2 linked regions of the Caenorhabditis elegans genome follow. The protein of the gene in region 1 interacts with the protein of each later gene in a pairwise test. Each region holds a gene or a part of one and is shown in the gene's direction. Other genes may lie near its edges.

Region 1 (7,899 bases):
ACAATAAATCGTTGTGCAAGTTTGATAGGAACAATCGATCCTTCGCTGCTCATTTTGAAAATATTGAAATAATTCAATTTTACGGTTTTTCACTTAAAAACACCACGTCAAAAGTTTTGAATTTTTTTAATCGATAAATCCCCACGTAATTATTTTTAGGAATTTTTACGGGTATTAAAAAATTCTGAGAATGCGTATTACACAGAACATCTGACTCGCAAAATATCTCGAAGCGAAAACTACGGTAGTTCTTTAAATGACTACAGTAGCACTTGTGTCGATTTACGGGCTCGATTTTTGTAATGAATTTATTTATCGATAGAACATTTATTTAAAAAGCAAAAAAATGAGACTATTATCCGATGAAATATTTGAAAACAAATTCATATCGAAAAATTAGTTTTTTTCGATTTTTTGATATGAATTTCTTTTCGAATATTTCTTCGGATAATAGTCTCATTTTTTTGCTTTTTAAAAAAATGTTCTATCGATAAATAAATTCATTACAAAAATCTAGCCCGTAAATCGACACAAGTGCTACTGTAGTCATTTAAAGAACTACCGTAGTTTTCGCTTCGAGATATTTTGCGCGGCAGATGTTCTGTGTAATACGCATTCTCAGAATTTTGTGTTACCGTAATAAATCAATTTTGTAATCCGAGAAAAAATCTCTAAAATAAGATTTAAAAAATGCGCAGAACAATTTAAACAAAAAATAGTTTTTTGCTAAAAAATGTAACTTTTTTTTGCAAATTTGAAAGAAAAATCCTGTAAAATTTGGTGGAAACTCCGAAATAAGTTGAATTTGATGGGCAAACACAAAAACAAAAAATTTCTTCGAAAACTAGCTTTTTTTCTTCAAAATTTTGATTGATCCACATGGAAATCCCCATTTTCCAGGAAATTTTCATTGTATTCGTTCTAACAATTCCCCCAGATTGTGTATGTATTCAAAAGTTCATGGCTGGTGGCACGCTCTGAAAACCAATTTCCGAAAAAATCGGATTTCCGAGTATGTCCTCTCGATCTTTTCAGAACGAGCAGCTGTTTCCAGCTTTCAAAGCACGATGGAGGCGGAGCTTCCATGAAGACTGAGTAATCGAGGATGAGAGTGTGAAGACGCAGAGAAGCGAACTTGTGACCGCGTAGAGCCCTCCTCCATCTTCGGCTTGAGTTTCCCTGCCAGACGGGGACAACTTTAGCACCAATAGAACCCTCCTGGGTCCATTTTTCTTGGTTTTTGGTCGATTTTTAATTAAAAATTGACAGAAATTCTAGATTTTATGTTTAAATTTATTTTTTTTTACTTCCAAAAACTTGATTTGATTAAAAATTGAATTTTCACTGAAAATTGGACTGAAAAGTTGGATAATTTAAAATAAATTGGCTCAAAAACCTCTTTAATTTATTTTTTTTGCCGAAGATGTAATGTTTTATTAGTCTAGAATTTATTATTATCATTTTCCTTCAATTCAAATTTAGATTAGAAATTCAGCTTCAGAAATTTCAGATAATTTATAAATTTTAAGGAAAAAATGTTTTTTTTAATTTACTTTTAAAATAAATACAATTGAAAAAAATTGGAAAATCAAAAAAATCCAATTTTTCAACTAATTTTAATTTTTTTTTAATCTGAAACATCAGATTTTTTAAAAAATAATTAATAAGCTTTCGCAAAATCTCTAAAGTCAGTTTTTTTCGAAATTTTCAATTTTTGTGTGATTTTTCGAAAAATAATTGTGTTAAAATTATTTTTTCTTTAATTTGAACTGTAGTTTTATATTTTCTTCGACCCTTAATTCTCATTTTTAAAATTGTTTTTTTCTTCATGAAAAAATTAAAAATTTTTCAGTTTCAAACACCCCACAAAGTAATGTCAGATAAGCATGGCGAGGAGGACAAGAAAGCAAAAATGCATTTAAAAGCTAATGATTTAGTGAGTTTTTTCCTATTTTTAAAATTTCCAATATTAATTTTTCCTGAAAAAATAAAAAAAATAAATGAAAATTTAAAAAATCAAGATTTTTTGAAATTACAGTAACCCAATTTTTAAAGGCGGAATATCGGAGCATCGTTTATATTCATTTTTGAATAAAAATCAATTTCTTTTTGCAGTTATGTGTCAATGGATGCGGATTCTACGGGACCCCACAGTGGGAGAATCGTTGCTCAAAATGTTGGAGAGCTCATCAGAATGAGATGAAAAAATGTCAGGATTTTGCGAAGAATAGGTAAAAAATTGAAAAAAAATGCCTAAATTCGAATTTTGAATACTTTTTTAAAGAAAAATTCCAAAAAAAAAAACTCTAAAATTAAAAAAAAAATTTCATAATTCCACGAAAATACCTTGAAATATAAGGAAAAAATCTAAAATCTCAGAAAAAACCTGAAATTCCAAGAAAATTCGTGGAAATTTCAGAAAAATATCGTTAAAATAAAAATAAAAAACCCCTGAAATTCCAAGAAAAAATCGCTGAAAATTCGAAAAAAAAATTTTCAAATTTCAGAAAAAAAAAAACCTAATTTTCCGCTCAAATATCCCTTTTTTCCAGATCTCTTCTAAGTTTCGATCAATTCCAAGAGCGGCGTAAATCGACAACAGAAAGCAAGTCACGTGGCATCAAAAATCTGTTTAAAACGTCTCCGATTCCAGGTAAGTGTGGGGATTTTGCTACGTGGCCGTGAAAAGAAAAACTCGGCCACAGATTTTTTTTTTGAAAAAAGTTTTAAAATTTGCTATTTTTCAGAAGGCGGAACCAGTTCACCAACTTCCACGTCACCGGCGAGCACACCAACTCGGTGGGTTTTTAAGAAATTTTATAGTATAAAAAAAAATTTTAGGTGGTTTAAAAAAGTTCTGTTGATTTTTTCAAATTTTAAAGCAAATTATAGACCTTTTCACTGGTTTTCGAGTGATTTTGTAATTTTCAAAGCCAATTTTCAATAATTTCGAGTTTTTTTTAAAACAAAATATTCAGGAAAAGTGATTTTAACCGATTTTCGGGTGATTTTAGATAAAAATTCAGATTTTTTTTTGAGGATTTCAGACAAATTTTCAACAATTTTCTACTATTTTTCCAGTTTTGAGGCCGTTGTCTGCAAAACAAAAACCAATTTTTCCGCGATTTCGAGCATATTTAGGTTATTTTAGACGTAAAAGATGTTTTTGGATTCAAGATTATTAAAGTTTTTTTTTCTAAAATATCTTTTTTTCCGCAATTTTACCAGTTTTTGGACTCTAAAATTTAGGCCAATTTCTGTCAAAAAGTGGGCAAAAAATCTGAGAATTAGTGGTTGTTGTTGTTTTTTGTTTACGATAGAGTTGTTATTCTATATACAGCTGCTGTGTATATATTTATGCATCTCTGCCACTTTTTTCTCTATACGAATAGACGATGAGCTTTAGTCGGACGGGAATAGAGAGTTATTTTTTGTGATTTGATTTGGGAAAAAAAGAGGGAAAAGTCTGAAAATGACTGAAAAATGTTTGAAAAACCCTGGAAATTCATTTTGAAAGGTTTATAAAACATATTCTCGAAATTTAAAAAAATGCTTTAAAAAGTAGAATTTTTCATAAATTTGCAATTTTGAAAAACAGTTTTAAATTATCGGTCAATTTTTGAAAACTGTATAGTTCGAAACAACGTTTGCCTGGGAATTCAAACATGGCTTGATTTTTTTTTTGCAAAATTGAAAAAATATATATGCAATTTGTTCAATTCCTTTTTCAGTCACTACGCTATATTTTCTAGAAGAAAATATATTCTAAGAACATTAATTTCTGAAAAATTTGAGTTCAAAACGAGCAATTTTAGATGTATAATCTCCCCTCTTTCTCTGTCTGCGTGACCGAATACAAAATGAGAAGTGGTGCGTAAGAAGAAGGAGAGAACTACATTCTAAGGGCACTTAGATTTCGATCTTTTGAGACTTTTTTCAGTTGGAAAATGGGGTTTTTAGGGGGATTTTCAATGCAAAAATCAGAGAAAATGCTTTTAGAGCAGTCTGAAAGTGCGGAAATTACCAAAAATTAGCTCAAAACCTAGAGAATATTGCTGAAAATTCAAGTTTCAAACTGAAGTTTTGAATTTTCTAAAGCTTTTCAGAGTTTTTTTGTTCTAAAATTACCTGTAATTTTCATCTAATTTCACTGGAAAATTGACTTTAAAAGTAGAATTTTAGCCTATAATTGAGGTTTCTAGAGCACTAAGTATAGAACAATTTTTCAAAAAATTCGTATTAATATGTACCTGAAATCTCATTTCTAAGATAAAGTTCAATTTTGTAATCAATTTTTTTGAACCTCTTTCTGATCAAAATTGTATAAAAAACCCTAATAGTAAGCATAACTTTTGAATTGACTAAAAAAATTAATTATTATGATTTTTAATATTAAATTTTTAGCTATTTTAACTAGATTTGGAGTCAATTTTTTGTGGAAAAAAATCGATTTTTATAGGACTTTAGGATAAAAAAGTTTTTTATTTCGAATTTTTAAATCAAAACCGAAATACAAACAATTTTCGTATTTGGCAGAACCCAAAAAAAAATCCTAAAACCACTCCAAAATTGGCATTTCTCATTCAAAAAAATTGCACCTTTTTTGAGCAAATTTGACACCAATTTTTTTTTTCGAGTTTTCGGTTTTATTTTGAGAAAAATCGAAAAAAAAAGGAAAAATTTTCTAACAGTGTTTTTCGGTTTCCAGGAAGTAATAAAAAATTCATATCGCCACATAATATTATATCAAAGAACATGTTTGTCTGAAAGAAAAAGTTCAACTTTCTTGTGAATGAATAACTAATTAATCACTGACTCATTTGTCTAACAATTCTGAGAATTCTTTTTCCTTTTTCCATTTCTCGTTGACACGTTCTCCTTGTTTTCGAGAGCAGCTTCTCTCCTAAAGAAGAAAAAAAAGAAAATGTAATTGAGAGGAGCTCGCCGAGCTTGGAAAGACACGGAGAGAGCACACTTTTTGCTTCTGTTCCTGAAAAGTACATGAACTACTTGGTTAGTCATTGTGCTCACCACTCGTGGGACAAAAGAAAAGTGCATATTCAGATGAAATTTGCATGGCATAATAGAGTAGTTTCTATTAATTGAAATTGACAATTTGAAAAAAGAATTCGTTATTTCTGGAATTTGGGAAATTAAAGTAGCTTCAAATAGTAAAAAAATTAGTAAAACTGGGGGAAAATGGCAAATTTTCAAAAAATTTGGACTTTAGAAATTTACAGCATTTCTCAAATCATTAAATACCAATCAGAGGTGGGCGGATATTTTTTCGGATATTTTCTAATAATGAATTTATCAATAAGTATCGATGTAGTTATTCTGGAAGACATGTATCCGAACCAAAGAGTAACTATTAAGCAACATTTAATATGATAATCCCTAGAAAAATTCTACAAGTTTTCCTTACCGAGACCTTAAAACTTATTAGCCGAGCAACATCGGATATCGGATATTACGGATATTACGGATATCGGATAATGGACTTGCATATCGTTTATACAGAAAACTTGTAGAATTTTTCTAGGTTTTATCATATTAAAATGTTGCTTAATAGTTACTCTTTTGTTCGGATACATTTCTTCCAGAATAACTACATCAATACTTATTGATAAATTCATTATTAGAAAATATCCGAAAAAATATCCGCCCACCTCTGATATAAATAGAACCTACTGATATTTTCCAAATGATAAAAAAAATTCTAAGTTCAATAAACGGGTGTTTAACTATCCAAAATAGATATCCCAAATAATCGAAGCAAATAAAAAATACCGAAATTAAATATCAACGGCTTATTTTATTTTTTTGTAATGTATAAATTCATATTCTGTAAAATATAAATCATAAATGTAAATATCTGAAATTTTCAAAAATAATTGTTTGCATAGTCTGAAACAGTATAAAGGATTATGTGAAGTTTTCTAAAAATATTTTTTAGAATCATGAAAAAATGTTCAGAAAATTTGGAAATTATGGGAATTTGTTTGAAACGAAATATTTACTAGAAGCCTCTGAAAATGTCCTTTAAAGTCTGAAATCAGCCTAGATTATTGTTAAAATTCTTGGAATTCTGAAATTTCTGAAAACTTCTCTGAAATCGTTTAAAAAGTAAAAACAAATGTGGTTATACAAATAGTGTCAAAAATTGAAAAGTGTAGAAAAATTATGTCACAACTGTATTAAATAACATACAAACATGTATTTTAATACGGCTGTGACGTCAGAAATGTATTTCAATAATAAAAACCGTTTTTTTTTACATTTAAAAATCAAAAAAATCAAGAAAATTAAATATTTATGAATTCAATACCAAACGACCGAGAAGATCACATGTTTCAAAAATCAAAAACTCAGTCAAAAATAAAAATTTGTTATATTAAAAAAAATAGTTGTTTTAATTTAACCTCTGCGAAATCTTAAATTGTTTTATCAAATTTGTTATATCAAACATTTCAAATTGAATTTCAAAGTAAACCAAATAAAAGTCATTCCAGACGTCGAGAACTCTCCCCGGATTCTCTGGAAGCCCGTCAACAATTCACCGATTTTCTCGTAGCGAATCTCTCAACAGGAATGGCTCAAGAAATTGCTCGTTCAGTGAAAAACGCGGTGAATAAGATCTCAGAAATGAGAATGAGCTCAGATGATATGTCAGAACTTGTAATGAGTTATTATCAATATCTTGGAGAACGAATCGGTGGACATTCGTTATTTGATTCACCGGATTGTAAAGTTAAAGTGGAAGATGTGATGGACCAAGTGGAAAAGTATATATCAACATTTTGTTATTCAATATTCTTTTGTGCAAATCATGAAGAAGAAGTAGCTGATATGTCGTTGCAAGACCGTATTCGATCACTTCACTGGGTTACTGCTGGATTTCTGGAAACTAAGATGGTTTTTAAGAAACAAACGGTTCGAGATAAAATTGATGAAGCTATTTCGGAACTTATTGAGATTAATGCAAAACGATCTGCATTTGAGAAGCTTGATTGTTTGACGAAATCTTGTAAGGCGATTTTTGAGGCGCTTAAGGAGAGTGGTGAGTTTTTATTTTATCTGGAACAGATTTATAAAAATTTTAATGATAAATATCAACAAAAAAAAAACAGAAAAATCGGTTTATTTTTCTGAAAAAAAAAGAAATTATTTTCTATTTAAAAAGTGTATAATTTCCAGTTTTCAGACAACTTTTTTATTCAATTTTTTAAATTTTTCAAATTAAAATTATTTCAAATACATGAAATTTGAAAAAAAAATTTGGAAAAATATATATTTTTTTAACATTTGGAATTTTGACGAAATTTAAGTTTTTTTCTATTTAAATAAATTTTTTTTCAGCATCAAACATAATTTCGTACAAATTTCCTGGACTTTATTGGAATTGGAAAAATTGGAAATTAAATTGGAAAAAAAATTTCAATCAAAAAATTCGCCGAAAAACTTCAAAAATCCGGTTTTTTGTTTTTAAAATGTATTTCCTAACAATAAGTTAGTGGAATTTGAAAAAAAAAGAGTAAAATTTCATCGAAATAGTTTAATAACAGATTTTTAAAAAATTTCTGAACGAATTTTCCGAAAAAAATTCCAAGAAAGCCAAATATTTATGAATTCAATCCCAAAAGACCAAAAAAAAATCACCTGTTTCAAAAATCAAAAATTTTCAGAAGCTTCAACATCGGCTGACGAATTCCTGCCAACACTAATATACGTTTTATTCCGTGGAAATCCGCCGTTAATTCAATCAAATGTCAAATTTATATCAAGATTTGCAATTCCAGCGAGGCTTATGAGTGGAGAAGCTGGTGAATATTTGAATTAAGCATCCAAAATTCTCGAAAAAAAATTTTTATAGAAAAAACTAGATTCTGCAATTTAAAA
Region 2 (4,276 bases), on another chromosome or scaffold:
TGTCCTTGTCCACGTGGTTCGAGTACATTCCCAGTCATCGGCTCGTATCCAATCAGAACTTTTTGTGGCGGCTCGAACCATTTGAATGCTGAATTAGAACATTTTTTATCAAGTCTTAAAAACTTTTTCTACCGAAAATTAGATTTTATAAGCGTTGGTTTATTGTTGTATGAATCAGCAACGGGACTCATTATTCCTTCAACAACTTGTGTATTAATCGTTTCGAGATGTGACCTGGCGACCTGAAAATTCATATATCATACATTTAATGTTTTTTTTATTTGATTACCTCAAGCATACGTAAATGTGCAATTGTTGGTGGATTGAACGACCCGACGGCAAGAAGAGCGACTCGTTTCATCGTTTTATCACAATATTTATTGAAACTGAAAAATATTTTGTTTTCTTCTGAGCTATTTAGAACGAAACGTTTTTGAAAAAATATGAAAAATATCGAGAGTGATCAGAAACGAAAAATTTTTTTTAAAAGTGTGTCAAAAAATGCAAGTCAGGTGGAAAATCAGGATACGTTTAGGAAATTTCTTATTTATTGAACCTTTTATTCACAAAATCGACAAATTTTTATGATTGGGAAATATTAAAATTAAGCATGAAACAAATTTAAAATGAGAATTTTAATGTGAAAACATTCTAATACAGTTTACTCTTAAAGGGACATGGCTCAAACAAAAAAAGTTGTCTCGCAACGACTCAGCTACAGTAGTCTCTTTTGAATTTTCTTGAATATTATTTGAGACCCGAAGAACTCGGGGGATGTCCAATTGGGGGGATTACCAACTCGGGGGATTGGCCCCGCCCACAGAACCGTGGCTTGCAATACGCCCATTTCTGCAACTGCCGCACGGTTTTAAAATTATTTTTTCTTGTTATTTCTCGCTCTATTGAGAAAAATACAGTTTTAAAACCGTGCGGCAGTTGCAGAAATAGGCGTATTGCAAGCCACGGTTCTGTAGGCGGGGCCAATCCCCGAGTTGGTAATCCCCCCAGTTGGACATCCCCCGAGTTCTTCGGGTCTCTATTATTTCACACTTTTTCCGCTTAATTTTGCGCGTTTTTTTTAAATTTAGCCAAAAATTACCGGAAAATAAAAGTTTTTCGAAATGAAAAATAATTTTCATCAAAAATGTAAAATTGGCCTAGCGCGAAAAAATATAAATTCGAAAGCGCGCGCACCGAAAAGCCTCCTCCCGTTTTCATCCATTTTTGTCTAACTGTCTGCGATGTCACACAAACATTGAATACTCAGTCAACTGCGCCCGTCACCACCCCAGAAGGTACGCAGCCAAATTGGCTACCCCCGACGAAGCCCGTGTGTGTCATCGATGTCTGTTGCGCAAATATTTCTTTTTTTTAGTTTTATTGATTTTCATATATCCTGCAATTTAATTCGTTCACTACTTTTGGATGCTTCCAGAAAACTAATTTTAATCTCAAACTTCATCAAAACTTGAGAAAAAAGTTTATCAATTAATCAAATTACACGTGATGAATAATATGCAGAGATAAGCAAACTGAATTGATGAAAATAGTGATCAAAACCCGTATTTCTTTATCGATTTCATCACAATTTCGTTCCTCGTGAGACACCCGTATGAATCAATAATACGCTTGTTTACCACTCTTCAGTCTCTCGCGTGCCTTCAATCTTTTTCGGAAATTGCTCATTTCAAATCAATTTTTCCACTTTTTAAGTACAAGGATTTTTAGAAATTTTTCTAGAAATTTCAGGGATTCAAAATTGTTTTATCAATGAGAATTGAGATATAGAATTTTAGTCGAACATTATTTTTTTTGTTCTTTCTGGAAAGAAAAATGCAACATTATTTCTCTTTGAAACCATTTTGATATTTTTTCAGCTGAATCCTCCCTCATATCGTTTCCTATGTGAAATTATGCTTATTTTTTGCTTGTAATTTATTCGATCGATTTTTAATGTAATAAATTCAACAAATTTGTATTTAGAAAATGGCCGCCCGAAACGCAGGAACCGCCCGGCCTGGAGGTCCAAACAGAACGTGCCAGTTCAAACTCGTTCTTCTCGGAGAAAGTGCTGTAGGTGAGTTGATACTGAAAATGGAAAAAACCGCTAAAGGTTGGAGTAGAAAATAAAAGCAAACAAGAACAGTTTTCCAAAAAATAAAGATTTTTTTATTCTACTCCGTTCTGTCTGTAGCATATTTCGCAGTTGCTGAAAACCGTCACAAAATTTCGAAATTGCGTTGATTTCGAAGTTTAATTCTTCGTCTTTTGATTGTTTATATGTTTAGAATTATGGGTCATCTGATAGTTGCTAGCATATGACGTATATGCTCTCTTATTTCACCTAAACATCACAGAAAACTATCATTTCAGGCAAATCATCTCTCGTATTGCGATTCGTCAAGGGACAATTTCACGAGTATCAGGAGTCGACTATAGGTGCTGCGTTCCTCACTCAAACTGTGAGTTTTTGAATTTTTTGTGAAAATATAACAATTTTCCCTAATTTGAACAAAAATTTTGACTAAAATGAAAAATCTCGAATTTTAATAATATATTGTTTTTTAATAATATAATTGCGGAGATTTTTGCTCGAAAAACACGGATTTTATATTGAAAGACGTAAAAACGTTAATAATTAAGAATTGAATTTTCGAAATTTCAGGTGTGCCTTGACGATGCAACAATTAAATTCGAAATCTGGGATACTGCAGGACAAGAAAGATATCATTCATTGGCACCAATGTACTATCGAGGAGCTCAAGCGGCTATTGTTGTCTACGATATTACCAATCAAGAATCTTTCCAAAAAGCGAAAAATTGGGTAAAAGAACTGCAGCGACAGGCATCTCCAAATATTGTGATGGCATTGGCTGGAAACAAGGCTGATGTTGCCAATAAGCGAACTGTTGAGTATGAAGAAGCTAATGCTTATGCTGAGGACAATGCTCTCTTGTTCATGGAGACATCTGCGAAGGTACATTAGAAAATTTGGATTTTGACAATAAAAACATGTTAACAGAGTACTGAAATAGATCAAAAACTAAAATTGTTATTAAAAATAACAATAAACTTTGTTTTCTGCGAAGATAGTTTTTGAACTAATCTCCATTAAAAAATGAATGAGAAATTTAAGATTTCCAATTTAAAATCAATTCTCTATTTATTTAATTACAGACCTCAATGAACGTGAACGATATTTTCATGGCAATAGCTAAAAAGTTGCCAATCGGACCAGCACAGGGTGAACCAACGGGAACTGTCGATATGAACCAACCACAACAGCAACAAAAGGGTTCATGCTGTAAATAAATTGACGACTTTTTCATGTACCATCAACCCTTCTAGCTCCGCTCCTCTTTTGTTCTATATATCTTTTGAATCCAACGCCTGTGATCGTCGTCATTGTTTTCCCCTCGAAAAAAAAACACTTTTGAACAAGTTTTTTGTGCTCGCTTTCTTTATTTATTTTCACTCTTTTAACCCATATTTTCTCATTTTTTGTATATTTCTGACTAATGTTCAGCCAGTGAATGAGCTTGCACAATTGGCTCTGCCCATTTGCTTTTTATATGCGAAAACTCCCATTTTTTCATTCAAATGTTCCAATTATTTATTGCTTCTCACCATCAACATCCAAGTCCCGAACCCCACCATCCCACTGTTAGTACTTTTCTCGTCAAAGTTTCACCACCTTTTTGTCAATTTTTTTTCAAAATTTTATAGCATCCTTTCAGAATCTATCCGAATAAATTGAAGTTCGAAAATGTATATACTTGGTAACACAAAACCCTTCGTATACGATCGATATTAGATATTGAATTCAATTTTCTGAAAAACAACAAGGTGAGAATTATTTGAAGAATACAAATGTCCGATCAACCTGGAACAAGTAGACCGCCTCTTCGAGCAGAACCAACGCCCACAAAAAGTAAATGCTTTTCAAATCAATTGAATTCAAAAGAAAGTTAAATTTAAAAATTAAATAAATTTACTTTAAAATATACAAAATCATCTGAGATTTTTTAATTTTTTTAAATTTTTACATTCATTTTTTAAATATGTATCTGATTTTTTTTTCGAAAAGCAATGAAAAAGTATGGAAAATTATTTGAAACTACAGTACTCTTTAAAGGCGCGCACCTTTTTATATTTAACAATAATTTGTCGTGTCGAGACCGGGTACCGTGCCTGTAGTGAAAAAACACAAAGAAAATAGTTCTGTAATTTTTGTCATCAATTTTAGCTTTTTAAATCAAACTTTCTAGTAGGAACT

The links. Proteins that work in one complex are often made in the same cells at the same time.
Region 2: the proteins of rabx-5 (region 1) and rab-5 interact in a two-hybrid assay, tested with the Caenorhabditis elegans proteins (one study listed by BioGRID).

The regions. Positions count from the first base shown.
Region 1 is NC_003281.10:10,603,497-10,611,395, forward strand, and holds the start of rabx-5 (Rab5 GDP/GTP exchange factor), read left to right. Parts: upstream 1-1,873; coding exon 1,874-1,936; intron 1,937-2,115; coding exon 2,116-2,231; intron 2,232-2,552; coding exon 2,553-2,653; intron 2,654-2,747; coding exon 2,748-2,799; intron 2,800-6,503; coding exon 6,504-7,060; intron 7,061-7,685; coding exon 7,686-7,823; intron 7,824-7,899. Other genes in the region: Y39A1A.2 (Reverse transcriptase domain-containing protein), read right to left, coding at 3-53.
Region 2 is NC_003279.8:9,306,459-9,310,734, forward strand, and holds rab-5 (small monomeric GTPase), read left to right. Parts: upstream 1-1,983; 5' UTR 1,984-1,986; coding exon 1,987-2,077; intron 2,078-2,373; coding exon 2,374-2,462; intron 2,463-2,665; coding exon 2,666-2,977; intron 2,978-3,177; coding exon 3,178-3,312; 3' UTR 3,313-3,763; downstream 3,764-4,276. Other genes in the region: nmat-2 (Nicotinamide/nicotinic acid mononucleotide adenylyltransferase 2), read right to left, coding at 1-88, 133-242, 290-361; uev-3 (Ubiquitin-conjugating enzyme E2 variant 3), read left to right, coding at 3,871-3,931.